4 linked regions of the Lonchura striata genome follow. The main gene of each other region encodes a partner of the protein of the gene in region 3 in a complex. Links are inferred from orthologs where the notes say so. Each region holds a gene or a part of one and is shown on either strand. Other genes may lie near its edges.

What was found.
Region 1: E2F4 (region 3) and TFDP2 share a complex: the UniProt entries of both Homo sapiens proteins name them as parts of the DRTF1/E2F transcription factor complex. The link is inferred for Lonchura striata from reciprocal best matches to the Homo sapiens genes E2F4 and TFDP2.
Region 2: E2F4 (region 3) and LIN52 share a complex: the UniProt entries of both Homo sapiens proteins name them as parts of the DREAM complex. The link is inferred for Lonchura striata from reciprocal best matches to the Homo sapiens genes E2F4 and LIN52.
Region 4: E2F4 (region 3) and LIN54 share a complex: the UniProt entries of both Homo sapiens proteins name them as parts of the DREAM complex. The link is inferred for Lonchura striata from reciprocal best matches to the Homo sapiens genes E2F4 and LIN54.

The regions. Positions count from the first base shown.
Region 1 is NC_134612.1:12,733,922-12,741,690, forward strand, and holds the start of TFDP2 (transcription factor Dp-2), read right to left. Parts: upstream 3,010-7,769; 5' UTR 2,834-3,009; intron 1-2,833. UniProt on the Homo sapiens protein: Can stimulate E2F-dependent transcription.
Region 2 is NC_134608.1:23,653,960-23,661,950, reverse strand, and holds the start of LIN52 (protein lin-52 homolog), read left to right. Parts: upstream 1-4,980; 5' UTR 4,981-5,055; coding exon 5,056-5,074; intron 5,075-5,154; coding exon 5,155-5,229; intron 5,230-5,440; coding exon 5,441-5,478; intron 5,479-5,949; coding exon 5,950-6,016; intron 6,017-7,029; coding exon 7,030-7,113; intron 7,114-7,991. Other genes in the region: ALDH6A1 (methylmalonate-semialdehyde/malonate-semialdehyde dehydrogenase [acylating], mitochondrial), read right to left, coding at 201-279, 848-1,009, 2,329-2,403, 4,459-4,521, 4,699-4,758.
Region 3 is NC_134615.1:16,854,962-16,862,485, forward strand, and holds the start of E2F4 (transcription factor E2F4), read right to left. Parts: upstream 3,005-7,524; coding exon 2,822-3,004; intron 1,005-2,821; coding exon 895-1,004; intron 429-894; coding exon 265-428; intron 1-264. Other genes in the region: EXOC3L1 (exocyst complex component 3-like protein), read left to right, coding at 4,055-4,097, 5,066-5,226, 6,170-6,389, 6,674-7,334, 7,519-7,524. UniProt on the Homo sapiens protein: Transcription activator that binds DNA cooperatively with DP proteins through the E2 recognition site, 5'-TTTC[CG]CGC-3' found in the promoter region of a number of genes whose products are involved in cell cycle regulation or in DNA replication.
Region 4 is NC_134606.1:60,954,833-60,962,794, reverse strand, and holds the start of LIN54 (protein lin-54 homolog), read left to right. Parts: upstream 1-4,958; 5' UTR 4,959-5,043; coding exon 5,044-5,077; intron 5,078-5,731; coding exon 5,732-6,459; intron 6,460-7,962. UniProt on the Homo sapiens protein: Component of the DREAM complex, a multiprotein complex that can both act as a transcription activator or repressor depending on the context. In G0 phase, the complex binds to more than 800 promoters and is required for repression of E2F target genes.

The sequences.
Region 1 (7,769 bases), on a different chromosome or scaffold from region 3:
CTCAGATCTTTGCAGAAGAGTCATAGTCTACAAATCAAATAATGGGGGAAAAGAGAATTAATTTCATTCTAATACTGGATGTTACAAAACATACATGAAGAATCAATCCAGGAAGCTGTTAGAAAATTCTCACTCTCTACCACGTGTGCACCTTTTACAATATTTCCTTGCATATCCCTGGTTTCTCAGATCCCAGCACAGGCATTTGTGCCCTCAGCTCCACCATGGTATGTGGCACTATTACTACACCAAGACACTGGGATTGTTTTTCACCTAATACCTAAAGTTTTGTGACAAACCGATTCCAGTGGTTTCTTAGCTTTATGCACAAAAGAATATGCAGATGTATTTCCTTGCAGCAGAACAGACAGCTGATTTTCCCTATTTTAAGATTCACTGTTGGTTCATTAAGAGTCATGTATGGTGAATCTAACTGAAAAGATAGTGGAGAAAGTCTTATACCATTACACTCAAGAAATGAAAAAGCAAACAATTTAAGAAATTATCCCTTATTAGAGACAGCCCTAAGAACATTATTTTAAGGTAGCACACCATAAGAAATGCAATTCTAAGAACTGAATTAGACTGGCTATAACTAGAACTCATTCTGTTCCACATTAGGATGCAGAAATTCAAATATTTCTCTCTACATAGGATGGGCTGCTTCCCCCCCATACCATGCAAGTCACTACTCTATATTGCATTTAGAGAGTCACATTCAGCTTTCAAAGGCACAGTGACAAGGTCTGCACATCTAAACCAAGTAACATCATACACCCTTGAAGAGGATGTAATGCTGGAATTTTGGTCCCTGTTTCTTCACTAAACCTGTAACAATTTTAGCCAAAGCTACTGAAAGATCCTCACTGGGAGGGTGCTCACAACTACTCAGGAAGTGTGTCCAGATGCACCAGAGGTCTCTACAGTGCTGTCCAACATGGACAAGAGTAGACAGAGGTAAGGAATTCTCTTGTGTTACTGACATCTCCTGCAGAACAGCACTGCTGCTGCCCAGCTGGGCTGCTTGGCCTGTGCGTTTTACACGGGAGAGCTGCTGCCAAGATGCTGTTCTGAAAACTGTACCTTCCCACTTTGTAAAGGCCACCAGTCAGAACCCTCTGCAGCAATCAAAGCATTCCTTTTACTGGTGTGTTTTCCATAAAATTAATTCTATTAAGATAGTACAAGTCAAATGGTTTCTTTTTGCTTTGCTGCAGTACTGATTTTTGTTCAAAGAGGAAGTGGTTAAAAGCCAAACAATTTGACAGTAATATAAGATCACTCTTAAATTTACCCATGAGGCAATCTTATTAATATTTAATAATTTTCTTTTTTTTCCCCCTAGGATAGAAGTAAATAATTTGACCTGTTACTCTGTCCTCTTCTAAAGGCACTAGACTCACTTCACAGTAAGAAACTTTTCAAAAGAAAACTTGACTTTTTTTTCCTTTTGACCACCTCTCCCACCAAGACTTTTCTATAACACAAATTTCTTCTTAGTCCTCCATGGTTTTTTCAAAGTGCTATATTTAACACCCTACACGTTAGTTTGAACAGAAGTTCCTGAAATTCAATACTTCACAGAGTAAAAAACACCAGTGAGTACACACAGCATTGGCATACATATGGGCTGTGAAACACAGTTCTGCATTTGCCCTGTAACATTGGTCCTCTCAGTCTTTGCCACACTTATAAAGATCCCTTTTTGTGTATTTTTTGTGTATGTATAATCAAAAGAACTGAAGTTAATTTGGGAAGGGTAAAGGAATAGAGAAAATGGAATTTATTTCTTTTTTAACAGCATCCATTTTTACCAGCATGTTATTTTTGAATCAAAGATTGTACCAAGTTGCAATTTGTTACAGCACCACACAACCTCCAACATTTTACTATCTTTTGTCAACATAATTAAGCTACATCAGTGATAGTAGTTGAAAAAAAAGTCACTGTGAGCCATATTAATGAAGAGTCAAAAAAATAATTGAACTGCTTTCAGAATTATGAAAACCGACCAAGAAATAATTTGTAAAAAATGTTTACCCAGCATACTACAGTATATCAATTAAAACTATTCATTTTCTCTGTCAAATCAAGAATTTACAGAGAAATTACAGAGAAAATGAAACCCAAAGTTTCATTTCATTTCAACCCTTTCTTCAGAGGAGAAACCTTTACTCAGTGAGAGAGAACGCTCTCATTTGCGGTTTTCTTCCACATTTCAAGGAAGTTTGCTTATTCCGTATTTTCCTCCTATTGTTTGTATTCTCAGCTCCAACAGACGGTGTTTACACTGGGTTCACCTCTGCCGCTGAGCCCTGTACCGCTGGAAGCCCGGGCAGGCCTGTAACTCCCAGGAAGAGGCAGGCAGGGAAGTTTTGTTGTTGTTGTGCCGGACTGACCCTCTCCCGGTAGGACCCGCGGGTGAGAACCGCCCCGACAAGAAGTCCGGGCGGCACGGAGCAGGGCCGGGAGCTCGGCCGGAGCCTCGCCGCTCCGGGCCGGGCCGCCGCTCGCCCCGCAGCCCGCACAGCCCCGCGCGGCCCGGCCCCGCCGCGCTCCCCACAATGGAGGAGGCGCCCCGGCTGTCACCGCCGCCCGGGCCCGCCCGCAGGTGTCGGGCCCCGGCTCCCACGCTGCCGGGGCGCCCGCCCGGCCTGAGGCACCGGGGGGACGCGGCGGGGGAGACCGCGCTGCCCGGGGCACCGGGGAGGGGGCGGCAGGGCCGGCGGGACCGCGCTGCCCGGGGCACGGGGGGCGGCGGCCGCTGATGGCTGAGGAAAGGGGCTGTCCTTCCCCCCACAGCCCCCCACACCCGCCCCCGCCCCCCGCTCACCCGCAGGACCGGCCAGGGACGAAAGGTAAGGCGGGCGGCAGCGCGGGCTGGGCCCAGACAGCAACGCTGAGGCGACGAGACGGCGACGGTCCCTTGGCAGCCGCCGCGGCAAGGAGCGATCGAGTCGCGCCGACGACGCCTCTCGGCCGGGCCGGCGCCGCGCACTCGCCGCTGGCGAGGAGGCCCCGGAGCCGGGACCCTCGGCGGCCCCGGTGCGTGGCGGCGGCAGCGCCCGCAGCGCCCCCGGCCCGGCCCGGCCCCGCCGCCCCCCCGCGCCCGCCCCGCGCCCAGCGCTGCCCGGTCCTGCTCCCCCGCACAAGCTTGGCGGCGTCTGCCGGCCGGGAGCGCCCATTGGCCGCCGCGCCGCGTGACGTCAGGCGCCCTCCCCGCGTCATTGGCCCGAACCCGTGTGTGTACACACACCGCCCGCCAATCCGCGGGAGCGGGGCCGGGGGGGCGGGGCGGAAGGGCGTGGCCGGCCGGGACCGACCGGGACCCGCGGCCGCCGCCTCTCCCCCGCGGCGCGCGCCGGCCGCTGTCAGGGCGCGGGTTCGATCCCCGCGACGGCTCCGGGCGGCCGCACCTGTCCCAGCGGCGCCCAGGTGCTGCGGGCGGTACGGAGCGTATAAATACACAAACCCATACATATTTATAGGCCTGTATTTACACACAGCGCGCGGCGCCGCGCTGGCTGCGGCCGCCGGCCGTGCCGCTTATCTGCGAGGAGCCGGTGGGGCTGCGTCCCGGGATGCAAAGTTCAGCCCCGCCGCGGGCGCCGCAGGAACGTCCGGCCTCGGCGCGGAGCCGGCGGCACACGGAGGCCAGGGCCGGTGCACCGTGCCCAGCCCCGCGCTCCCCCTGCGAACAAAGGCTCCCGGGCCCACAAAGCGCCGGCGGGGCCCGGAGCAGCGACCGCGCCCTCGCACCTCCGCCCTGCGAGACCCGGGACCCGCTCCCGCAAAAACCCGGACCCAGCTCGGCGCCTTGGAAAAGCCTTAAGTGCTTGATTTCAACATCCTTAACGCTGTAAAAAAACTGTTTCAACGAAGCAGGGTTACATATTCTTACAGAGACCATATAAATAGAAAGCACTCCTGGGAGCAAAAAAAATAAATTCGGCACTAGTTCCATTCAGCACAACGATGCAACATTTGTTAAGTCTTTCTCGAGTGCAGCCAGGCACACATCCAAGGCGTGCAGTTACCCATTTTGCATATTTCTCTAACACAAACGCAGCTTAATGCCACTGAGCAAGCTGAGCAGAACAAGGTTTATGGGGACACAAACACTATTATGTGCTTTAGATTCCTGCAAAACATACATGGTAAGCTTCTGTTTTTCTTGCATTACAAACATTAAATACTCTAGAAAGACATATTTTTGATCCTGTACCCTTCACTAAAAAGGGAAGTAACACCAAAAAACCAAGTGTTCAGCCTATAAAGTGGAGTTCCTAAATATCAGTCTAAGGAATATTAGCAATATTAGCAAACAAGACCTTTATATTTATTTCAATGGGGCAGTTTACAACCGAAAATCTTGCATGTGCCTAGGAATTTGCAGATTGTGGTTTTAGTTTATTTTCATCCTGTAAAAAACACTTCCATAACATGTAACAAAAACTTTTATCAATATTGTCAGTGTTATGCAAGATACATTCACAAAAGCAATAGAATTGGAGTCCCCTCTAACAGGTACGACCACAACCACTAATATGACACACGCCCTGACAGAAGTGCAGAAGGCACACGCTACCTTCAAAAGGAAGCAAACTAGAAGCAACCAGGTTGGCTAGTTTACTGCACTATTATTAGTTACCACAGCTAAAGAAATACTTGAACCCAGCCTTAATAAAGACACTTTGGCTTCATAGATCTCTTTTTGGTTCGTTGGTTTATTTACTTTTTTTGCAAGAAACACTGATGAGCTGAAGTGAGATACTGGAACTGAGTATCAACATGAAAAATAGCCATTTTAACCCCCAAGGAGAGAGTCTATATACACACATCTAGACATATATGTATACACAAAGACACTATTAAGTTTGAAGGTGGTGAAACAATGACCAACTTGCTTGAGTGTAAGTATGCTACTTATGTAACATTCTAAAACAATACACAGTCCTTCAGAACTTTAACAAATCCCAAATTTTACCCCAGAATGAAGGCTGCACTGAAAAAAGAAAAACCCTTAGAATAGGGTTTTTGAGACATGCTAAGGTGGGTTGAGCAGCTACACCTGCCCTGCAGGAAGCTCTCGTGTGTCCCTCCATCACCCATCGGTGTCCCAGCCTCAGAACACCACCTTGCTCCCCCTGGCCAGTCAGATCAAGTCAGATCCCTCCTAGATGCCACCTCTTTCCCCTTTCATAATACATCACTTCTCAGTATCTGCTAGTTTTACTGCTTTCCTGCCAGTCCACAGCCCTTGCTGTGATAACCTGCATGAACATTAACCCAAAACAGCTTCCCCCTCACCACCACCCCTTTTCTCCTCCTCAACCTGCCCTGACTCCCCATAAAGCCTTAAACTAACACACTCCCAACTTCTGGGGCAGAGCACTGCCATATTCCCAACTCACCTGCAGGACTGTCACACCTCTTTGTTTCCAGAGGGGCTCACTTCTTTGCACTCTTTAGCTCAGAAAATAACACAATCCCATTGACTAGCAGGAAAGGGTTCTTCCCTCTTTCTCTTCAACTGGTGAGCCTTTTGTGCTGTGCCCTGATCCTGGAAATAGTGGGACTAGTTGAAGGACCTTGCTACAGAGATTATGCCAGTAGAAGGTAGCAAGCTTTCAGCAACTCGGTATTTTGCTTTTTTTACTTTCTCCTGACAGGAAAGCAAGTCTAAACACTCTTGTTAAAAACAAATGAGAGCAACTAAATTAATTTTACATAAAATTAGCTGTTAGAGTAGAGCAGAAAATACTGCTTAAAAGAAGACTACTCAAAACTTGGTTATTACAGTAAGTTTTTTAACACATCTGACTTGATCTTTTTTTTAGCTATGTAACCAAATTAATACAGCTGCTCAATATTTTCAACTATCTGAAGACTTTCATCTGCCCTTTCTCTTGATATACAACAATAGTAGCAAGATTCCTCCAACAATAGAGGGATTATTATGAGGCATCATTTTTCATGCCATAGTCCCCACATATTTACTAGGACTATATGTTATGAATTGTACAACTGCCAAACTGATATGACATTATCTACTATCAGCACGGTGGGATCTGTGAAGGCAGAATGCCCAGAGATCATTAACACATCTCAACTGTATTGCCAATCTTCACATGCCAATGAGCTGCACTGCTGTCCAATCCCAAGTACAACATTAAATTTCAACTGAGTATCTTAAAATTACAGAACTGCAACCTAGTTAATATCTGTAATTTTGTATTGTTACCTTTACTATCAAACTCAGTTGATAAAAAATGTAAAATTGCATATACTTTCCAAGAGAAAAAGACAAAAAAGAGACAAAAAAATTAAATACAAGCAAAAAGCAGCAAAAGCTGTCATATTTTAAATAAAAGTTAGTATGAGTGAGGTTCCAAAATGGTTTTAATGCCCTTCTGTGCAGCAAAAATTGAGATGCACAGCACCTGTAAAAATGTATCTAAAGCTAATTTCAAATCAATTATCAGGTACCACTTTCAGATAACATCACATTAAGGATTTCCTGGGAAGATAAAATCAAATTTTCTTGTAAAACATAAGCAAAAGAGGTGTTGATCAGTAATCAAATTTCTTCAAAATGTCAGTTTGTCTGCTCAGTCTTTGGGCAACTTCATGTCACAAGCTGTGGCACATGCTCTGATCTCCAAAGGTTGGTCCATCCTGGGAGATTTTCAGGCACCCTTCTGTTTCAGAGCCTTATTCCCTACTTTGAACCTCTCCACAAGAGAACTCGCAACTCTGCAGGCCATTTGAAAGGTTCCGCTGGTAAATACACTAAGGCCTTTTCTCATCCTTACTTGTAGTGAAGTTTCTCTGCCATAGATTTGAGGCTAGTGAAAGGAAATCAGCTAAAATTCCAGCTTCAAATAAACAGTGACAATGGTAAAATGGTTATCCAGAGTGTGTCCTCTAGGATACCACTTGGGGCAAGAGGACTATATAATGTCTTGGCTATCTTTTCTGTCTCTAGCTGTACCATTGCTAGGGTGAAAACTACCACCACTACAGGTGGAGTATCAGGCAGATGGTGCAGAGTTGCAGAGTGATTTGAACAGAATCAGGTTCAACTCCTGTTAGAGCTCTGGGAGCACTGCAACACTGCCTGCTCAGCCCAGCAAAACCTCCAGGCTATCAAGAGAACCTAAGTTAAGGAGCCTTCAACAAAAGGGCAATAGGGGGACATTATACCCAGGCAGATGTTGATGGAACTAAACCCCCTCAGTGAGAACAAAATGCAGAATAACAGTGACTGAGGCACAAACTTCTGCCCAGAATACCAGAGTTAAAGTCCTTCCGCTTGGCCTTGGAGAAAGAACCTTCTTGCTAATGAGCATTTTCTTTAGCAGTGACTTTGTGATGACAGAAGAAAATCCCAAGCTGAATACAGGTGTTAAAGCAAAGTAGTTGTTTCACATATCCTGTAACTGCAGAATCTTACCTTACAGCAGAAGGAGGAATGGAGGGAATCTTTTTGAAGGACTTACTATTATTGGAGTCTTGGCACTACAGCCTGGCATATTACTAGAAATCAGCAGACACACTTCCTTCTGTGCTTCATTTAAGGACTCACATTAAAGAAGGTTAAGGAGAATTGGAAAGATACCCGGAGAAAAGAAAATTGCCAAGATGTAGCAAAGGTTGAAGGGCAGAATATAACAGAAGAACAAGGAAAATGGCAGGTTAAGCTAAGGCTGACAAGTAAATGAGATGGAGGCTGAACACAGCTAGAGGAGATGCTCCAACTCAGGGTA
Region 2 (7,991 bases), on a different chromosome or scaffold from region 3:
GAAAAAGCTCTAACAACTTGGAAGTGATTTAAAAATTATCTAAGAAAACTCTTCAGCTTAGAGCTACAATTGATACTTTTCTTTGAGTAGAGGGCTATAAAGGGATCAACATATACAGAGCAATCAGTTGCTCAGGAGACCTCATCCCTTCCTGTGGGTTCTCAAACCCCCTTTTTTAACAGGAGGAGCCAGCAGCTTACGGAGGCCTCGGAAAACATCTCCCTCAGCATCAGCCAGGGTCTTTCCTTGCTCAAAGGTGATGAGTTTGGAAATTTCTTTCTGAAAATGGAAAACACAAAGTTTATGAATGTTAGAAAAGTGCCTGCCCATGAAAAAGACAGAATTAACATAGAGTTGAACATCACAATGAATAGACTGAACACAACCCAGAAAAACCTATACTGACTGATTTGCTCCTTATAAACAAGAAGCCAATAACCCACCTAGGTGACATTTTAGAAAAAATCGTCATCGGATGGTTTGTATTCTAATGGTTTCAGGTATGACACCACATACAGACCAAAAAATCCATCAGGAAAATCCAAAAACATAGTAACATACTTGTCTTCATCAACTGACACATGTTCCATCAAGGCTCAAAGTTCCTTCTGTGGTCTCTTCGTAAAGGAACAAATTCAGAGCAATATTCCCTAAGAAGCGCTGCCTCTGTTACCATTTGATGAGAGAAGTGCTTTGCTGCACCTCTCGACAGTGTCTCAGTTGATTTCTCAATCATGGCAGCACCTCATCAAGAACACTGTAAACCCCAAGTCTCTCTCAATTTAGTTTCTGAAATCAGCTGCAATGCATTCAGCCATAGACATCACACACAGCCATGGGATCTCACCAGATTGTCTTTGATGAGCTGTTGATAGCGCAGGAAAATTTGCTGGCGACTCAAAACAGATGTTTCTGACCAGTTCCAAAAAGCCTTTTTGCAAGAAGCCACAGCTGCCTCCATCTCACTGGCTGTGGCTTTCGGTACACGGCCAACCACCTCATTTGTGGCCTGAAAGAGAAAACAAATTGCATCAAAACTCAGCTTTTCCTATGTGTTCCCACCAACCATTCAAGAGTTCTTTCACAGCACACACCTAATATTCTTGTTCTACAAGTTGTACTTCTGAGGGCACAGCACAAAGGAAATGCCTTCCTTGATTGCACACAAAAGGCCTGGGCTACAACTGGAGTAGTTCTGAAAACCTGCATTCCAAATATATCAAGCTAAGCACTCAGAAAACTACAAATGCAGTGCTGATTTCCAAGCTGGAGTTGAAGTGACTTGGCTATCTTGAAACTTCTAGACAGTATAAGGAAAAATTTTCCATGGACTATGGTCTTTTCCTCTCCATCGTCTTGGTTCATCTGGCTGTCCCTCTTGCACATTAAATGAGGCAATATTCCTTTGTGAAAAGCAGTACATGACTGCACATTTGCCATTGATATTAGCTTACCTATACCCCTAGGCCAAAGTACTATTTATATACAACCTTAATTCTATTGTATTTTAACTTCAAGCTTGGTGCCAGTTTAACCTCCTTCTAATGTTATCTTAAGAATTAAATCTGCTTTGACATGACAAAAATTTCAGATATATCAGTAAGACAGAAATTACTCAAAACAAGAGGAAGAAAATTAAACAAGAGCACTGCTTGCTACATAGACCAAATGAGCTTCATGAACATTACTTGCTGCTCTGATCATTTGCACAAAGCAAATGAAAATAGAGCTGTACAGAAAAGATTTAGAAACTGCTGTTTTAAAGGCTTACTAGGAAGGCCAGAGGATCAGAATTCTGAGTGCAACCTCATTTCCATTTGTCTTTGGTGGAGTACATAGACAACACAAGTGCTACTTATCTATTTTGCACTGCATAGCATCTAGCTCTGTGATTATTGTGCGTCAACAGATAGAAACTCTCTGAAAGGAGAGGAGCTTCAGCTGTTAGCATTTTTCACCTTTTTACTCTGAGAGTAATATCAGCCTCTATCAGGATTTCACATTCAGCTGGGATCAAATCACACCCAGTTGATTTCATATACAGAGTGAAAGACACCCTTCAGAAATCTGACATACAAAAAAATACATAACCAAAATTTAAGCTTCCTTTCTGGAGACCAGGGCCTTACTATGTGAGGGAGGTAAGGGTGATAGTAACTTATTCTGAAACTGATATTTCATGTGAAAAGGAAACTGAGAAGCTGTAGTCTGCTGAGTCTAAACCTTTCTCAAGAAATGTATGTTTTTCATCTGCCACATCCCTGAAGAGGCATAGACCTTTGTTTCACAGTGATCACTATTTACATAAGGTGAGAGCATTTCACTTACTGGGTTGTGGATATCAATCCATTCAGTAGTTTTGGACTCAATAAACTTCCCATCAATGAAGAGTTTGGTTGTTGGCTGTGGAGGTCAAAACACTGAAAAGTGAGTTATTTTTGTCTCAACATGCCTAAATGCCAATGTGCCATATTACATGCAAGCCTTTATCATTTACTGCTATGTGAACCACTAAAGTCTGTATCCAGTCTTCACAGCAAGACCCAGATAATTGCTCTCTGCCCCATTTTGCTCTCTTTACACCTAAATAGCCAAAATTCTTTCTAAAAGCAGTTATAGAAAAAAATACATTGCTCTGCTTATGTTTGGGATTGTTTCAATCTATTTAATCAAAACCTGAAAAACTGCAACTCATAAATGTTCAGAAGAAACAGTTAATAATTCACTTCATGGGAATTCTGTGAACCCAGTGCAGACTGTACCACTGTCCCATGTGCCTCCTTCCCATCAAGCCACTAAGCAGGTTCATCTTTCCAGTTTATAGCTTCAAGCAGAAAATTGGACTTTCCCCACCCCCTGCTTGGTCTTGCAACTAAGAGTAAGAAACCTGTATCTGTGGACTGTCCTGGCTGGCAGCACAGAAAACAAAACTTTCCCACTCAGATGAAGAGGAGGGACAAGGAAAGTTTGGAATAAGGAGTTCAGGCAAACATAGAACAGAACAGAAGGCAGAGGTAAAAGCTGTAATTAGCATTAGATAGGCAACAAAACTATACCATGCAGGAAAACAAATTGTGACTGTATAAATTAAGAAACTATAAAAGAGGAGTTGACATTGGGAGGTAAGGAGAGAATTAGAAGAAAGCAAGAACCAGTTAATCATGACACAAATCCATGACTTGGGGAGAACATGTAAGAGAAAGGGGAAATGGATCTTCTGTATGAATAACACAAATGGGACAGATCAACAGAACCAGGATATAAACCCAAATATATCATGAAAATGAAGAAATTATGATATGGAATTATGAAAGGGAGATGAGAACTTGGATGATATCCAAAGTGTAATGAAGAGACAGAGATCAGAGTAAGAATCAGGAACATAAATGGTACAGGGTGGACAAGTGATGACAGTGAAAAGTGGATGAAAGTGAAAAAAAATTAACAGCAATGTTAGTTGGACAAACTGAGAAAGCTTTGAGATGAGAAAGTTAGGATCAGAAGTATAAAATAAGTCTGTTAATGGACAAGCAAAACTTAATGATTTGGAAAGCAATGCTAGAAGAGAATTAAAATTAAAATGTTGCAGATGATTATGTAGCTGGACTCACACTTGGGGAAGAGAGGCAGAAATCTGTGCCTACAAAAACACAATCTCCTCTAGAACCTGGAAGAAAGCACAGGATATCCGAGTCCCTTGACCGAGTTTCCTGACTGTGAGAAAAGCTGCTGGTCTAAAGAATGACAAACTCCTATGGCTATCAATCACTCCATTAGCCTCAGTGCCACCGAGGCTAATGCAGTACAACCACAAGCGCCAATGCTTTATGACCCACATAGACTTCAGTGCAATGGAGTTAATGTCTTTTTCAAATTGATTAAAAAGGGTATCTCAAACATTGCACACGCAACAAAAAATACTTTAAGCAAGCCAGAAAATGGTGAATTAAAATTAATTGCACCTTTCCCATAACATCGCCACCTTTTTTTATGTAGAGAATGCACCTGCTGTGGGAACATGGACGGTAGTAAAGCAGACTACTTGTGGAATTCTGGTTTGGAGTTCAGAGAGTGTGCAGCCATGGACAGCAGAGGAAAAAAGGCAGTACAAGAACCAAAGTTGTTTGATACTGTCCGAAAGAAACCAGATCCTCTCTCTGTCGCAAATAGATGCATGAGGCCAGTCCAGAGCCACCAGGAGTACCGCGGGGTGAGGGCGGCCACCGCTCAGCTCCGCAGTCCGACAAATCGGACATGGAACTTTTTCCCGTCCCTCCCGTGGAGCGCGGGCGCAGAGCCGATGTTTGTTCCACCGGACCCGCCGGGGTCCAGCCGAGCCGGCGGGAACGGCCTCAGCGGAGCGGAGCCGAGGGCAGTGTCCGGCGGGCGGCGGCGCCCGGGGCTCTCCCGCGCCTCCCTCCCCGCCCACCGGCTCCGCTCCGCGGGACGGGCACTCACCACCGAGGAAGAGAAGGACGCGGCGACTGAGGTGGTCCAGGGGGCACCGGCTGTCCGCGGCAGCTGGACGGGGGCAAGCACAGACCACCTCAGGGCGGGTCAGGCAGCACCTCCCCCCGACCCCCCTCCGGCTGCTCCCGCCCGGAACCGACCCCCGCGGGGCCCCGGGGTCAGGTGAGCCTCGACCCCCCTGCGCCCCCCGAGCCGCCGGAGCCGCCCGGGGCCGGCCGGCCGCCTCACCCTGAGCGCCACGCGGCGCCGCCCGCCCCACGCTCCCCGCGCCGCCGCCGCCGCCGCCATCCCGGCCGAGGGTCCCCGCTCCGAGGCCCCCGGCCGCGCCCCCGCCCCGGCCCCGCCCCCGCGCGGCCAATCGCCGCCAGCAGCCGCTCTGGCCGCGCCCCCACGGCCCCCGCCCCCCGTGCCGGGCCGCGGATTGGCGGAGGGGGCCGAGCCGCCCTCCGAGCGTCACGGCCCGGCCCGGCCCGGCCCGGCCCCGCCCTGCGGCGGCCGCGAGCGCGGCGCGTGGGGCTGGGGGCGGGGCCTGCTTTCCGCTCCCGCGCGGCTCGGCCGCGGGCGCGGTCACGTGAGGCGCGCGCCATGGCGGCTCCGGCGGACGGTGAGGCGGGAGGGCCGGGCGGCACCGCCGCTCCCGCGCCGCTCCCCGCCCGCACTGCCCTCACCCCCTCTCTGTTGCAGGCGCCGACCTGGAGACCTCGCTGCTGAGCTTCGAGAAGCTGGACCGCGCCTCCCCGGACCTGTGGCCCGAGCAGCGTAAGTGCGGCGGGCCCGCGGCCCCGAGTCTGACAGCTCGGGGTGGGGTGGGGAGAGCCCGGCCGGGCCGAGCCGGGCCGGGCCTCCTTGGGGCAGCTGCACGGGCCGGGCCGGGCCGGGCCTCCTTGGGGCAGCTGCACGGGCCGGGGCGGGTGGCGGTGCCGCCCGCAGGAGCGCTCACCCCGTGCCAACCTCCGCTTTCTCTCCCCAGTGCCCGGGGTTGCCGAGTTCGCCGCCTCCTTCAAAAGCGTGAGTGAGCGCTGCTTTGCCTTTCCCTTTCGCGTTTCTTCCTTCCGTGTAATAGTAGATCGGCAGGTTCTCTTGCGCGCTTTACATCTTCTATGAACCGTATCTCAGCAATAAGTCCAATATATGCTACAATATAGCTTTTGGTTTTAATGTATCTTTTATATATGTGTTTCTTTTTATGCCTTCTGTAGTTCACTGTGTATGAGAATTATACTTTGAAAGCAGTAAAGGCTTTTAAACGTCAGAAAATCCTATTTTTCATACTGATTTTTTGGCTTGTGAATGGTGGCATGCCGTTTTTAACTCTAAAGTGTCCAGGAAAAAGCAAGATTAAACATAAAGGTATTTCTATGGCACACACTCTCGCATTTTTGCTGTTGTTGTAACTAGTTTTCAATACAGATCGTACTTCATTGTATAATTCTAAGAATGGACTTTTCTGAATATGAACTTCTATTTTTTTCAAAATAGCCCATTACAAGTTCTCCCCCCAAGTGGATGGCTGAATTAGAAAATGATGATATTGATATGTTGAAGGGTGAGTATGAATATTGTGGGCAAGAATTAAGGTTGCCAAAGCAGATGGGAATTCAGTAGTTACTAAGAGGCTTAAAACACTTGTTCTTTAAATGTTTTGGTGGTGGCCTTATGGCCTGAGATCTCTAGCCATCATATTTGCAGAATCTCCAACTCATAAGTCTCTTCATCTTGTTAATGATAGACATTTTCATTAAACCAGTTATTTCCAAGAGCCTATCCAGATATCAGTGGCAGGCTGATTTTTCAAGATAAGCAATGTAACATTGTGTATATTTCAGTCACCTCCCATAGCCTTTTTATCACCATATAAGTATAGTGAGCATCTCCTGCATTTTGAGAAGTAGCATTAATTTTTTGGAGGGGCTCAGCTGATCAGTTGGTGAGTAGCTTAGACTTGTTGATTGACTTGTTCAGAGATGCTCTACGTGTGTGTGTTCCCTCACAGATCCAGGAGCTCCAATGCAACGGTGAGGCTGTACAGGCAAGTTACAGCAGGATTAGCTAGCATGTACACTTTCTTCATGGTGCAGCTGTTAGTTTGCAGTCAATATCCTTCAGCGTGCTCTTCCTGTCATGAATTCTGAATGATGGTGTGTGATCGTGTCACAGTGACATGTCACAGCTACAGAGTGAAAGTGAGACAATTTAACTCTGACTCACTCCAAGAAATGTGCTTGAACTCACGTTATTAATGCAAAATAAGTCCATTCCCTTGCTACTTTTATATAGCTTGTTCATGTTGCAGTGTGAACTTAGAGGAACTTCTAAAGTATAGGTCAAATTACTCTTTGCAATGGTGGCAGATCAAATCACGAACTAGAGTCATGGCTGCCTTTCTCCGTACTTTAAAATTAGGAGTGGAGTCAGCTTGAATTTTGAATGTACGCTGTTCACTGAAACAGATCCTGACAGAATTAAGGCTTGAAAGTGCTCTGTGAAGTACTAAACAGGTGAACTGCTATTGGAGGACTATAGAGAGGGTTAAAATTCGTCTTTTTCTCTCTTTTTAAGAGCTGGGGAGCCTTACTACAGCTAATCTGATGGAAAAAGTTCGTGGCCTGCAGAACCTGGCTTATCAACTGGGACTGGATGAATGTAAGTGCTGTACACAGATATGACTGACTGCATTCCAAATCTTTCCACTAAAGCATGTGCCTGTACATTGGTAGCTGGAAAAGTGTGTTGACAGATTTGGCAAGTGTTTTACAGTGACCTCCTGCAACAGGATGAGAGAATGAACTTACATCTCCAACTTACAGCCTACCTGCATGGGGGAAGATGTGTGTCTGGTGTTACCCAGTGGCACAGAGACTTCTGTTCCTGAGTTAACATTGTGTTACATAAATCAGGTCACTTTGCTTAATTTCCCACTCAAATTCTAAAGGTATTTCTCAAAATAATTGTGGCAGTACTTCTCTCAAATTTCATGCACTGCCTCCACAGGGAAATTTGTGTATAGGATTCTCCTGTCACTTTGGTATTCATACTGCTTTCTGCTTCTGTAGCTGTTACTTTTTTTACACTCAGTTGTGGTGGGCAGTGATGTCATTGAGTAATAAAGATGACTTTCATCCCAGTTGCAAACAGCCAACTCTTTCTGTGTTTTTTTGAAAAAAGAGCTCCTTTCATTGTCTCATTTAGGACTCCTGTTAACAGGTTGATATAGCTTTGAGGATATCAAGAATATTGTGGAGTTGGTTTTAATACTACCCATACATACCAACACATTTTTTTTTCTGTTTAGACCCTGGTTGTAATTACTCTTGGGCTACATGAAGCACCAAAAGTTTCAAGTCTTTCACCTTGCTTTTAGTGGGTACTACAACTTAGTAATAAACCTTTAGAGTCTTTCTGACTGCAGACATAGGATAGCCTAATGCATTCTTAATAACAAATCATTAAGCTTGTTTTAACCTACTTTGAGTTTATTTTACTTTCAGTGCTAATATCTGTTAAGACTGTGTGAAGCATTT
Region 3 (7,524 bases):
GTGACTCAGAAAAAACCACTTTTCTCACTGTGGTAAACATTACTATGTTTTTACTTCCAAAAGCCAGAGGAGAAGCTGGATGCAGAGAAAAGCAGGTCTCCAGGCTGGACAGTTACCCTAATTTCAAACCAAGGTGCTGCCTTTTGATCCTTTCAGTGCAGCTTCTCCAGCAGCAACAGGCCAGCACCCACCAAGCTGTCATGTCTCTGCTTCCCAGCCCAGCAAGTGAACACGGAGACAGAGCCATCAGTTCACACAAAGGATATCGACTGTTCTGCATGTCTTCTGTAACATTTTTGATGCTCTGCTGAACCCACATCTTCTGCTGCTCCAGCTCCTGCTCCCGCTGCTCCAAGTCCTCAATGTCTGCCTTCAGCTCAATCAGTTTGTGAGCTATTTCACGTGTGTTGCAGCCAGGACCCACCCCCCTGGGTAAAACAAAAATGGGTGAGATATATCGGCCTCTGGAGGCACCCAGACCAACATCAATCTCTCTGCCAGCCTCTTATTCCCACCCGTGTCAAACACCAATGCCAGATTGCCTGGAAAGCTGTGTCTGTACCCACTCTAGACCCCCACTTCCCACCATAGCAATGTTTGGTACACCTTTCTACTTCCCACAGTCTCCCCCACCTCCAGTGCCATGACAGGTATCTTTCCTAGACCAAGGCAGTGCAAATATTTAGTTTGTACCAAAATAACACCTTTGCTGTAAGAGAGACACCATACGAACTTCAGCTTTCCTCACTGTGCCATCAGCACAGCACAGCTGGGGGAGGCAAGAGCATGGACCACTCAGGAACCTCCCTCTGCACACAGCATTTTAATCCCACTGTCACTTAAATCTGCATTAGAAGGGACCTGTGAATGATTTAGACCATCTCTACCACTCACTTCCACTGGATACTGTTCTTGGACTTCTTCTCAATCAACCCGATGCCTTCCAGGACATTCGTGATATCGTAGATCCGTCGCTTCTGTCGCACAGCCAAGGTATCTGCAGCCTGAAAAAGGTTAAGATACTTAATTCCAAACTCTCAGTCATGTTTAGCTCCTTCCTGCCTGGCAGATTAACTCCTGGCCAAATACTTTGCTCCCTGTTTCATACCTCTCCCATTCCAGCGTTTCACGTTACACAGCCATCTTCTTGATCTCACATGACCATGAGAAGAAGTCACTCATTCTTCTTTTTTTCTTACCCCATAGCCTCCCCACTAAACCCAAATCAAATTCCAGCACTCCTACTCACAGTGGATACAAAAATCACCATTCTCCAGTAGCAAAGCAGTGCTAGAATATAGTAGTTCAGCAGCCTAAAAATTTAGTGCTCCCTCGGGGTAGAGATGGAGATGGGAAGGGGAATGCTGAGAGCTGTCTGTGCAACACTTCAGTGAAATCAACATTCACAAGGTCTTTTCTAAAGCTGATCTGACACTACTTGATAAAGAATCAATATCTTTTCAAGAGATTCCTCTGTTTGAATGACATGACTCCAGGTGGAGAGTAACCATGAGCATGCCTGGGGCTTCCCTGCCTTGCTCAAATAACCCTTTTCCCTCAGGTTTCAGGACTCAAGGAATGGCACTGTTTCCACTACCACACGGCAACCTGGCACCAGCAAGAGTTAATGTGTGCACAGAAGGACCAACAATGTCAGTGGCAGTGCAGACACAGCAGGTCAGCACAGGAACTATGTCTCTGTCACCTACCAGTGACAGGCCAGGACCTCGGAGATCCTACACCATACAACTACATAAATCACACTGACTAACACGAATTCCCTTAATGGACATTTGAAGAAGAAAAATATTGTCAAATCAAATGAGAAAACAATTTGGCACAGGCATGGAGCCAGGAAACTCCTCCAGTCCATTACTGGGGCTTTCTGGCACTTGTCTGTCTCACACACGTGCCCACATAAGAGATGCTTATATAAACCACAGCAAAGGAACTTCCCCTACAGGAAAGGCCAGAGATTAAATACTATACATTGACAGTGTTACTTCCTCTAGGTGAAGATCTTAAAATGCAGAAGCAAGATGATTTCACACAACACTTCTCCACTGCCTAAAGGCATGGGGACAACCTCTGGCAGGTGACTCTGACCACCCTCCCCATCCTGGTGTGTGCCAGGAGGGTTAAGTGCTGTATGGACAGTTTCTATAGGTATGTGTTTCTGTAGATGTCTGAGGCTTTGGTGCCAGTGATCAAGTACGGGGCAAGAACGCATAAGAGAAGAAGGTGGTCAAACGTTTCTGCAACTGAAGCACACATACACCTCCAATGCATGGTCAAGTCCTGGCGAAAGAAGAGTCGCCGGGACAACCCGACGGGGTGGGGACAAGGGCTGGGAAGGAGGAGCAGGCGGGGGTGTAAGGTCGGCCAATGCAGAGCCCTCTGTGTACGGCCGGCAGCCCTGCCGCAGCCCCAGAACCCCGCTTTCCGCTCGCCTAGAAACAGCATCAGTACGGCTGGAAAAGCCCTCACGGCTCATCGATCCCAGCCCCTAAACCCCACCACTGAACCATGTTCCTAAGCACCGCACCCACAAACCTTTTGAGCGGGGACAGTGCCTCCACCGCTGCCCTGGGCAGCCCATTCCACCAGTGCCTCAGCACTCTTGCCGTGAAGAAATTTTTCCTGGAATCCAAACTAAACCACCTGCTGCACCGGGCGCTGCCATGCCCCCGTTCTCCCCCTGCAGACCTGCTCCAGCCGCCGGATGACCGGTCCCGCCGGAGCATCGCTCTCCCGGCGGCCGCTCCCTCCGAGCCCTCCCCCGGGGCGGCGGAGCCCTCCACCCCCCCGGCTGCCCCCGCACCAGCTTGAGGTCGAGCACGCCGTCCTTGGCCTCCTGCAGCAGCGACACGAACTTGGTGGTCAGCAGCCCCAGGCTCTTCTCGTGCCGGCTGGGCGCGCCCGCAGCCCCGCTGCCACCGCCGGCGGGCTGCGCCCCGCACTCCGCCATCTGCCCGCCGCCGCCGCCGGCTCCGGGGCCGCGCATCCGCTTCCGGGCCGCGGGGCTCCCCGGGAACCTCCGGGGCGGGGACGGCGGCGGGGCGGGGACCGGGGACTCCCCGCCGCCGCCTCCCGGGGCTCCGGAGCCGTTCCGCTCTGCTGCCGGTGTTCCGTCAGCCCCGTCGGTTTGGGGGTCCCCCGGGCAAAGCCAGGGGTGCGTCCATCCCCTCGCCGTTCTGCGGTGCCAAAGTCAAGCCCCACCCTGTGGTAGCGAAGCCAAACCTCAGCCGTGTACTCGGCTCTCACCGCCCGGGTGTCAGGGCCGGTTTGCTGCTCCAGCACACCCAGCGCCGGGGGAATCCTCCAGCCTGTGCCCGGGGAAGGCAGCCTGTGGCAGGGACACATCTGCAGGTCCATCTGCAGCCATGGAGGGTGCATCCCCGCGTTCTCGCCTCCGGGTCAGGCTGGCACAGCACACCCTTCATGGTGATCCACCCTCGAGTGGGCTCGCACTGTGGATGGGCTGGGGTCTGGGACCCCGCTGGCCTCCCCGAGCCAGGGTGGGTGCGAGAGAACAGTGCTGCGGGCACGGACAGGGCTGAGTGTCCGGAGAACAGGGGGTGCCGGTGTGGGTGGACAGGACGAGAGGAAATGGCCTCAAGTTGAGTCAGGAGAGGGCTAGATTGGATATTAGGGGAAATTTCTTCATTAAAGGATGGTCAGGCACTGTAAAATGTTGCCTGGGGCAGTGGTGAAGTCACCATCCCCGGACACGTTAAAAAGCCGTGTGGATGTATCACTTAGGATATGGTTTAGTGGTGGGCTTGGCAGTTACCGGTTGGTACTCGATGATTTTAGAGGGCTTTTCCGATCTAAACGATCCTTTGATTCCGTGACTTGTATTCCCCAGACCTCCGGCTGTCGCCGTGCCTTCCCGTGTCCCCCCTCCCCTCCGCCCCCCGTTCCTGACGTCCTGAGCGCGGCTGCGGGAACACAATGAGGCCCTGAGGAGCGCGGCTGCTCCGGCTGAGGAAACGGCAGCCGGCTTCCTCCGCAGCCCTGCCCTGGCCCCGCAGCTCCGCGCAGCCTGGACACCATGGGCATGTCTGCGGAGGACGAGCGCGCCGCCAGCCCCAGAGGTAACGCGCATGATGCTCCCCGGGAGCCGGCGAGCTGGGCAGGGAAGGGATGCTGCTGCTTTGCAGCACGTTTTGGGGATTCCCCTGCTCTTTGCCTCACCACCCCCTCCACCCTCCTGGATCTTTTCCCTGTGCCGTGGCTGGTGCTTTGTTGTCCTTGCGGGGTGGCAGCCTGGCTGTGCTTCCTGATGGCGATACCTGCGCGGGGGCAGTTCTGCTCACCGCTCATCTTATCCTCAAAGCTGCTGTCCTCCTCCCTAATCCCCTGGTCCCAAGGCTGCCAGCGGCTCCCCAGCAGAGCAGGAGCCTGGCTTGGCACGGGGTGATAGCCCCGCGGAGCTGCAGGGAGTGGCTGGGGATGGGGTGGCGTGGGGGAATGATGAAACCAGGCATGAGGGGACTGGGAATGGTGTGTGATAACTGTGCTGGTTCTCAGACCTCCACTGTGGCCAGGAGCTCTTTGGCATGGCTTTGGACCCTGTGTCAAGGGGGACACAGCTGCATGGGTGCTTTGGGGAGACCAGGAGTCTCCAATCCTCACTTTAGCCTGGCTCTCCTTCCTGCGAGAACTGCTGTGTCCCCATCCCTCCTGCTGACTCACTGCTGGAGTCTCAACCCTGCTGACAGCTGCCCAAGTGGCATCAAACCCCCTCAGACAACCCAGCATTTTGTTTTGGGGAGTAGCCGGGATGTACACTCAGCCTGGGGACAATCTGAGCTGGCAGGCTGAGTCACAGCACCCCAGGACAGCTTTATTTCTTGCTGCCACAGCTGCTATGACAACCCCGGGCCGTGGTGGTGGCATCTTAGGGGGCCCTTGTGGAAGGACCCTCTTGGGGACACGCTGCCCAGCTTCCCACGTCGGTGTGTGCTTGGAAGTCCACTAGCGGCGAGCTTCCTGCCTCTGGCCTCAGGGGCCCTTCCTGCCCCACTTGGTTGTGCTCACTGACCCCTGGCTTCGTCCCCAGACGAGGAGTGGCCGGAAGCGGAGAAGGCTGAGAAGCTGGCGAGAGGAGCTGCTCTGAAATGGGCTTCAGGGGTGTTTTACCGCCCCGAGAAACTGGAGGGGCTCGGGCATTACCGGAGGCGAGAGACGCAGAGGAACAACTCCATCCAGTCCCGGCTGAAGGTGTGTGTTTGCCCATCCCGCGGACACTTGCAGCCACACCCCCTCTTCAGGCAGGGACCCCAGCCAGGTCCCCTCTTGCGCCATCAATTCTCTGTATGTCCTCTTTTGACAAAATCTTTTCCTTTGGCTGGCGTTTGGTGGGTGAAGTGTAATTGTTGGGGAGAGAAGACCCCCTTCACCCTCTGCCTTACCCCCAGGCAGTGTCTGAAGTTTTAAAAGGAGTCTTCTGTGTCTCTGACAATGCGGCAAAATAAAACACCAAGGGGGCTCAGCACATTCCATGTGCAGGACTCAGTGCACCCCATCACTGCCCCGTCCCAGCCCCAAAGGCTGCCCTGCCCCACAGCTGGGAGGAAGCACAGAGCTCCAACCTGTCCCTGCCTGTGCATCTCCACAGGGAAAACTCCATCTCTCCACATTTGTAAGGGTTGTCCCAGTCCCCCTGCACACTTGCCTCCTCACCCACATCCTCTTTTGCATGACCCAAGGAATCAGTCTGAGCACCACAACTTTCTCCTAATAATTTTAGAAATGGTTTCTCCTATCCTGACTCTGGATGAATTGTCTGGGAGGCCTCCGTGAAAGCAACTTTTCCTGGTGATTCTTGGCATCAGGAGCAGGGAGTTAAATGAGTGGATAGGGCACGGAGATGTGCCAGTGCAGGGCTGGAAACGATGGCACTCCATTTGGGAGGAGGGTTTATATGGCCACTGAGGTCCTTCATACCTTGGGGGCACATAGGGACCCTATGACCCACTGCTCTTTTGCAGAAGCAAAGTAATCTTTTAAAACTGAGAGAGGCATCTGCTTGCTGTTTACCATGGGCCTTGTGGGGCTGGGAGAGTGCCTGCAACACATATTGTACAGGGCTGGGACAAGTGGTGTGGAGTCCTCCTGCCTTCTGGAGCTGCTCCACTGCCCTCCATCCTTTTCTGCTCCCCAGTCAACTGTCCAGTCCTACCTGGAGGGGGTAAGTGCAGGGCTGGAGCAGCTGCGGTCGGCGGCCCAGGAGGTGCAGGGCGTGTGCCAGGACCTGGGGGCTGCACGGTGGGCCCTGCTTGACAGCGCAGACAACTTCCAGGGCCTCCAGCAGATGAGGAAGCTGATGGAGGAACATGTGCAGCTGGCCTCGGTGGTCCAGGTGCTGCCCCAGATCTTCTCGGGTAAGGCACTGGCCCAATCCTGGTCAATTTGGGCTGAAAAGCACTGGGGGAAACCTCAGTGCAACCACAGGCTCTGTGCAGGGCTGGTGGTAAAGCAGGTCATTCAGGCTTTGCCAGCTGGGTGAATGGAGATATCCCTGCTTCCCCAGGGCCTGATCCAATGGTGTTCCCAGAGCCCCAGACCTTTCCCCTCACCATCTCCTTGATAACCTGCATCTATGTCCCTGGTGCAAACCCCTTCATCTCCACACTCAGTGCTGGCATCTCTCCTCCCTCTCCCACAGTCCACGAGGTTTTTTCCCATATCCTGCAGCTGCTCCATGGGCAGCATCTCTTGGAGGCCCACGTGGAACTCATGATGGTAGAGCAACTCCGGGATGACATCCTCTCCCAGCTGCACCTCCGCGGGCTCTCCGATGCCCAGGCAACTGTGCTGTCCTACTTCAGTGGCCTGCAGGACCTCAACGAGAGCCTGGCCAAGCAGCTGTGGGACATTGTGGGCAGCAGCCTGCAGCTGGTGCGCGAGGACCCCGTTCTCTTTGTCACTGCTGTGAGGATCATCGAGCGGGAGGAGAAAATAGATGATACTCTGCTCTTGGAGGCCACCTTCCTTCCCCCTGGCCGCCCAAAGGGCTGGAGGCAGAAGTTCTACCAGGTCCTCCAGGACACCATCACAGGAGCCCGTTTCCATGCTCCCCGCATGGATGCTGAGGGGCCAGGGCTGGCCAAGCACCTGGCAGCGCTGCAAAAGGACATCGTGTCTGAGCTGCGTGTGGTGAAGGACCTGATGGTCCAGTGTGTCCCAGCCCACTACAACATCCTCAGCCTCTGCACTGCCACCTACCACCAGGCCCTCACCAGCCACCTCCAGGAGATCCTGCGGGAGGACCTGGACAAACAGGGACTCTTCCTTCTCCTTGAGTGGGCGCTCCGTGTATACCACAGGTCAGCAGCAACCCCGGCACAACCAAGTGGGGGATGTTGTGGAGAGCTGGGTTGTTCACCAGCTCATGGATGGGTTAGGAGAGTGTCTCTAGCTGCCAGGGGATGATGACCAGGAGGGCAGAGGGACAGGTAGGAACTCCTGGAAAACAGGCCTTCCCAGCCCTGCCCCACCTCTGCCCTCCAGCCCAGA
Region 4 (7,962 bases), on a different chromosome or scaffold from region 3:
GGATTTCATTATGTTCCTCTCTGTCCAAGTCTTACTGAATTGTAGCACAATCTCTTGATGTATTAGCCATGCCTCCCAGCTTTGAATCATCCACAGACTTGCTGAGGATGCACTCTGTCCCTTCATTCAGATCATTTAACAGGTTCAGCAGGACTAGACCCAGTACTGACCCCTTGGAGAGCACTCCTGGCTGCAGGCCTCCAACCAGACTCTGCTCCAGATCACAACCCTCAGTTTCCCTCTTATGACAACTTTAGTCTAAAACCCTCCTCACCATCCAGACAAGCCTATGGACAAAGATCTCTTTCCTTTCTCTATCAGATGGATCCCCCAGTGCCACACAGACCAGGTTTCTGAAGCAAGTCCCATGGTCTGAGCACACAAGCCCCAAGCAAAGGGAGTAGATGGGGCTGCCTTAGCATCTTTCCTGCTGTGATGGGTGTTTCCTCTTTGTCTGCAGAGCAGTGAAGCAGTTTGGCAAGGGCACCTCAGCCTTCGGGAGAAGTCTCTTCCTCCTGCCAGTCCTTGCCATTGCAAGCCTCCATGCTTCAGCATTATTTCCCCTGTCCCTTCTGGGTGTGCTGGTGGGGGAGTTTTTGGCTGTGAACTGTTGAGTCTCCTGCAGCCTGTGCTTGGAACCAGCAATCCAACTCTTTCCTACTACCTGCTGCAGGAGATCCAACATCTGGGTACACCTTTTGCAGACAGGTCTGCTACCTGTCCCTACCTTGGCAGAAAGGTCTAGGCACTGGCACTTGAGGGCTGGGCATTTCAAATTGCTTAATCTCAAAGTATTAAGGTCCCAAAAAATTTGATTTCTTCAGCTCAGCAGCCTTCAGGAGTTTACATAGTTGCTAGGATAGGAGAGAGCAGATAAGCAGAAGCTGAAAAATTTGAAAAGCAACTAAAATGTAATTGACAGCATCTCATACTTCTCACTTAAATCCTCAAGGATCCATTCTGTATTTCCCCTTTTTCCTCCTGCTCTTGACTTTGTTCTAATGAATAGACTTAGGAACGAAATATATTGTGTTTTTAAACCTTTGCTAGTTAAGGTTAAAATATGCCAATTTTATGAATGCAACCATGTAATGTGGGATTTTTGAGTTTAAAAATATGAGCCATAGCCTGCTTGCAGTCCTCTGCTGCACCCTGATTGGAAAGAGAAGAGATGGTGTTGGCACATTTTTGTCTCAGCTGTGGAAAATCCAAATGTCGCCCCTTTTGTACTGACTAAATGTTGATCCTGCATTCTTTTATATTCATTTTCATTAGAGTCCACTGTACTTGCAGTGAACAATTACTTGTTAGGTTGTTCACTCTTACTTTTCTGCTATTCATCTGACTCAGATTTTCAGCTTCACTCTGCCCTTTTTTGGGGGCAGGCTTCACTGTTCTTCTTTATACTTCTTTTTTAAAGGTTTTTGCATAGTTTTAGCTCGGAAGTTGAAAATATTTGCTCTCGTTGGCTCTTAAGGGTGCTACTTTTAAGTGTATCTGTCCCAGCTTTAAAGAACTACTAACAGATACTGCTGTATCTGGCAATGTTACTTAGTTTCGCTTAGCATTTTCTTACTGGTCCCAAGACAATCCCTGCTGCTTCAGGGGTACCTTAGATGTGTTGCATTTATGAGGCTTTTGATTTTGGGTAGTGTGGGTTTGTGTTGTACTTCAAGAGGTGTTCATATAAAAGCTGTTACTGATTTGGTTTCCTTATTTTCTGGTGAAAGTGACACTTGGGAATTTGGTTAAAAAATGAGCATTGCCAGTGATTTGAGGCAGGTTTGGTCAGTGTTCCTAGATGTGTTGGGTTATTCCAGAGTGTTCCCATGGCTGAGCACCAGCAGTCCAGCAGCCACAAATGATGATGAGTGCCTTGGCTCTCTGCTCTGTTGCTGTGGCCTTGCTAACATGCATCACCTTCTCAGGTGGTCTCAGCAGTGGTAAAGCTGGTCTCAGTAGCCTTGTTTCTGTATAATCTGAATTTATAAATGTGTGTTTTGCTTGCCTGCAATACATAGTCCTACTGGTAGCTTTGTAACCTGTCACCCTACTCTAACTGCTCATGGTTGCAGGCAGGAAGGTTGGCTATTCTTAGTGAAATAGAGACATTTCTTCATGTAATAAAATGCAGTTATTGTAAAATACAGGATATTTTTATGTCTTGCATTTGTTTACTTCTTTGTAGATCACTGTGCTTAATTATATTGATATTTTATTTTCCTGTTTAGTGTGGTTGTTCTGGTAATTTATCAACAAAGGTGTTGATATGATTGATCTCAATACTTTTAATGGAGTTTCTTAGAGATTTTGCAGTGACATGCTAGATGGAGAGAAAAGATCAAAATTCACAGATACCTGTCAGACACCATTCTGTATTTTTGCCTATAATCCTGATCTTCTTTATCCTCTTCCTTACAAATCCTCTTTATCCTTTACACCATCATATATATATTTTTCTTCCTGAATATCAAGAATAGGAATCTGTTTTGTGAGTAAGATGAATACAGGTGGTTTGCTCAAGCTGAGAGTTTGTTCCTCTCCTTCTCGTTACCATGCCTAGCATTTTTCTAAGTTGTTGGTCCAGGACTTTGCTGACAATATGCTTTAGTCTAACTTTTTTTTTTTTTTTAATGTGTTTGGCTGGTTGGGTGTTCTGAGCTAGCTGTGTTTACAAATCTTCATTATATGATTTTTTTTTGTGAACTTTTATTTAATTGTGTGGCCATTGTTTTTGTAGGCTAAAATTGTGTTTAGTAATCTGAACCTAGGATATTTGCTGAGTTTCCTAGTCCGAAGCTTAAGCTTAAACACTTCCTTGGTCTAGATTGTTTTTTTTTCCTTCAAGGTTTGAGTAAACACAAAGTGATTAATCTTTTCAAGGGGTTGTAGTTAGCACTTATGCATTATTCAGTACTCAAAACATAGGTGCTAAGTGAAGGAAACTTTGAAGGGTTTAAATAGTTAAAACTATTTGCTACCCTTTCTTGACGATCTCAAGGCTGTTAGGCTCTTAAGAGGTTGGCATGCTTTTACTGTTGCTAATCGCTTTAGTAGTGGAGCTGGAAAAATGGAAACTGTATAAAAGCATTAGTAAAAAACAAACAGCTGAACTGTTGAGAAATTCTGGCTAGATACCAAGAAGTAAAAATCTGCAGGGATGTTGAAGATGCCTTTGACAGCAGCCTCTGGTGTAGCCAGGATGAAATTTTCATGGTTGGCTTTCATGTATCTATTCCAGTCATGTCCAACCTGCAGTGAAGAAATGGACCAAGTGGGTTGTGTTACAGTTCTTGTTTGCTGTTGTTGAGCACACTAGCCTGAATGCAATAATGAAAGCTAAGTTTAAAATTACCTGATAACTTCAAATCTTCCTATGTGATTGGCATATGTTGTTAATCCAGTAACTATGAGTAATGTTTCTTTCTTTTTCACTTCTCAGTTTCTGATTCCAGAGTAGATGTGATATTTCTTTTTCTTCTGCATTCTGATTTGCAGTGGTTAGTTTGGACTCAAAATGCTGTTTAAAAGCCTGACTCCATGTATTTTAATATAAACATGCTTTCAACTAGATATAGGTATTTAATAAGTACTTACTGCTTTGTAACATAACCAAATGGCAAGGATAAAGAATGCAAATACCTGATGAACTATAAAACTACTTAGATATATTTAAGTATTTTATGATCATACTGTTAAAAGATGCTAAGAATGGCCTTTCTTCTTGGGAAAAACATGTACAAACGGAATACAAAGCAAGTTATTTAAAACTATTTATAATTACAGAGTGAGGTGGGTTTCCCCCTGTCCAATTTAGATTATTCTCTCCTTTTCAAACTTGGAGGCAATTATTACATGGATTGTGCTTGACACTAGGAGTCTAACTTCTGGATCCAAGGCCTATGGGCATATCAGTATAGAACGAGATGATGCTTTGGTTTGAGGTTTATTTTTTTTGTGTCTGAAATAGTTTGAAGTTTTGCTATCTGAGCTGCAAGCCTTTTCAAGTAGCTGAGGTGACAGTCAAGTGACACAGCTCAGAAGAAGGCCTAGTGACCTTAACGTATGCTGTATTCAAAAACAGTCTACTTTGGAGTAATCATCTATGCAGTTAACCTATTTGACTTTAAGGCAGCAATATGATAGTACTACTAATGTGTCTCTTGGAGCTGGCTGTTTTGTCTAGGGCTGCTTACCAGGGCTGGCATCACTGTGCAGGCATTACTGGGGGAGAAATGCTTTCCATAGGAGGTATTTTTGGCAGTGACATCAGATAACTTTGTATCTTTAAATGCCTGCCAATAAGGGAGCTGGGAGTTTGACTGTCAGTGCAGTCCTTTTGGAGCTCAGGCTTCTTGAGTGTCAGGGCAGTTTGGTCTGGCTGGCACTCTGAGGTGAGGGGGGTCAGAGTGGCACCCTTGGCAATCAGGGAGGCCAGGACTGTTCCAGCATAGTCTCTGGAGCTCGGTGTGGAAACTGTGTAATTCTAGCAGGGCTTTTTTCCCCAATCCTTCCACCTTGTGGGTGAAATGCAGCTGTTTGGTAGTTAGCTGCTGTACAAAACGGGCCCACAATGACTCCAGAGGAAATAATGTCACTTGGGCATTTGGTTGGTGTCTTCACTGGCATGGTTCCTCATGAATTAGTATTAAAACTCAGCTCTGCTTTTCCTAGCAAGTAGGAAACAGAATTTGCAAGGGTTTTGTCCCCTTGAGCTTATAATTAGTACTCAGGAGCATGTAGGCAGACCCACATGGTGTGCTCACCCGTCCCGGGCCCAAGTGTGCTCATGGGGTCAGCAAGTGCAGAAAATGCCTTATTAAGCTGATCTGTTTTCAGACTCTTGACACTGATACAACCTTAAGGGAATGGTACAGTTCCACCATTTCCAGCAATGTCTTTAGGTTTTCTCAAGTGGAAGTGGCTCTGGCTTTGAATCTCGCTGCAGGTGTTTGTTTAATATATAATTTGGGTGATCTTAAAAAAAAATCCCTTTTTTTTCATACAGTGTGTTATTTGTTTTGTTTTTAGAACACCTTTAAAATGAATAATGAATTTGTGTGTTATAAATTTTCTGGTGAGTATTGAAGTAAAAAAATTACTGAGCTCTTTTCATAGCTGGCATCAAGGGATTATCTCTTCATCTTGTGAGTGGCAGGGCTTTGGATTGATCCTGTGGTAGGTGGCTGTTGATTGAGCTTTTGGGGTTGTTCAAGTCCATCACTAAATAGTCATTTGATTTTATCAGAGATTTCCAAAATGAAAATTTGGTGATAATGCTACATCTGGTATGGATAATAAATCTCTTGAGTAAGATAACCTGCTAATCAGTGTTGGCATGTATAAGAAAACATCATCATCTATTTGATTTTTTAAAAGCTGTTTATCTCTTGCTTTATATTTCAGTGGGTTTAAATGTCTGTGCCTATATTTTCAGGGGGGAAGCACTGCTTCTTGGTGTACTGTGGTGTAAAGAGTGGAGTGGTAATGCCTTTATTTTACTTCAGCAAATGATGTTGTAAAGGTTTGATATAAATTATTACCAAGACTCAATTCAGCCTAGTAGGTTATATTTTGTTAACAGTTTTTTTTCCCATGATATCCCTCCTGTGCATGCACAATACTTTCAGTCTGAAAAAAATTGACTGTATTTTCTTCTTTGGTAATTTTATTCATAAAGCTTTGAAAATATGTGTTTTCTGGAAGCCAATAACTTTTTAAAATATTGCAGTACCTGCTCCGGCCATCACTGCCACAGCTACTAAGATGGAGGTGGTTTCAGCAGAAGTGAACAGCTTGCTCCCTGAGGAAATCATGGACACTGGCATAACTCTGGTGGAAGATGACAGCATTGAGGCTGTTATTGTGTCTTCGCCAATGGGAGAGTCTATTCCCATGGAAACAGAACTGGAAGAAATAGTGAACATAAACTCCACCAGCGACTCCTCAGCCACGACTACAGCCACAGTCACCACGGAATCGGTCCCTGTGCCCAGCAGCCACTCAGGAGATACAGCACTGACCACCACAGCCCCAAGCCCTGATGTGAATGCAGCTGTAAAGCCTGCCTTCCCAGGTGGCCTCCATAAACTTGGTGCTCAGACCCCTGTCACTATCTCAGCTAATCAGATTATTCTGAACAAGGCCACTGATATTAAAATAGGCAGTCAGAGTATTAAACCAGATGGGCAAAAGCTGATTGTAACAACTTTGGGCAAGTCTGGCCAGCCCATTGTTTTAGCACTACCCCACAGCCAGCTCCCGCAGTCGCAGAAGGCCGTGTCCCAAGCCCAGGGTGGAGAGTCCAAGGTACAAGGCCAGCAGATCAAAGTTGTCATTGGAGGTCGGTCGGAAGTGAAACCTGTTGTGGGTGTCTCAGCTTTGACGCAGGGAAGTCAGCTGATAAACACTGCGGCCCAGCCCTCTGTCTTGCAGTCCCAGCAAGTAAAAACAGTACAGGTAAAATGAGTTATGCTGATGAAACTTCCTAAAACCAGTTCTGTTGCTGCAATTGTTGTCTGTTTCCTGCACTGATTGACACACTGTTGCTTTCAGCCTTTGCATTTGTTCTTTGTATTAAAAAATACAATGCTGCTCTTAGCCCATGCTTTCATCTGTTGATGCGTTTGCCATTTTATGCTGTTTGCCTCTAGCTACTGTCTAGAAACTTAGGGTTTGCCTCAGAGAAAGTGAACTATTCAGTAAATTGAAGATAATTTTATCATTATTTTCATTTATAAAAATAAATTCTACATACTCTCAGGAAGACTGAATTCAACTTTATATGCCTGTTGTTGTTTACTCAAAGTATACCCTCCTTTATGGAAGAGTACCTTCTGCCTATTACGTTCAGTTTGTTTAAATAAACTCTCTGAAAAAACTTCTAGCATCTGTAAAAAAACAGAAGGGTGTATCTGGTCTGCTTCAAATCTAGTTATCATAAGCTGAACATTCAAGGTTTGGTTCCTAATCTCTGGCATGGATCTTGAGATATTTGAAACCACAGAGAATCTGCTTGGATCTGAAAATGTGTTGAAAAGACTTGGGTTATGACTCAAAGAGTCTGATTCTCATCTGTTATGTGGCAGAACTAAATGTGAGTGACTTTGTTCTATTGGTAGTGAGGCAGAAATGAGACTTCTTAAAGTGAAAGACAATTAGAACTCAATGCAGATTATGATGGGAAAATATTTATTTTACTGCCTAAATGAAATGTGAAATTAAACTCTTAAGTATGCTATTAAAAATAATCAGCTGCACATAAAAATGACAAAGTTTAAAGAATTTTATTAGCCAAATGTTCCTTGATTAGTATTTCATGGCAGGTGAATAAGATCAATATTTTCTCTAAAGTTGCAGATGATTTCTACTGCACTAATTTCATTCTCCTTTTTTGTTGCTACATCATATCTGGAAACATTTAGTAATGGCCATTTGAAACATAGATGGTTGTCAGTATAGTTTTCAAGAAAGTCTCTGCACTTTAGTCATCATAGGAACATTTAAGAGTGGATCAGTTCCTGTTGCTTGACTTCATTATTCACTGCCAAGTGACAGATACAGGAAACTGAGGGAACGACTTAGCTGTGTTGTGGTTTTTCCTTGCATGAGATGATTTGTGCTGTCAGTGACTGCAATCAGTGGCTTGGCCATTGACCTCTGCAATCTGCCATTGGAAATTCTACACATTCCTTACTAATGAACTTGCATCCATTTATTAAAAATTGCAAAGTGGGTAAATTGCAGTTTGGGTAAATTTGTCTTCTTGTGGTTTCTTTTTGTTAAGCCATTGGTTCCCTTTGCAAAACAGACTGAATTGTTAGCACTTGACACTGCTTTTTTCCCAGGAGGAGGGAGTAGAAACAAGACAAGGTCAGCACCCAATATTGCAGGGGAAATGTTTACATTAGCACTTCATAGACAGTGCTCTTCCCTGTAGAAAATTTCTGAAGTATCAGAGTG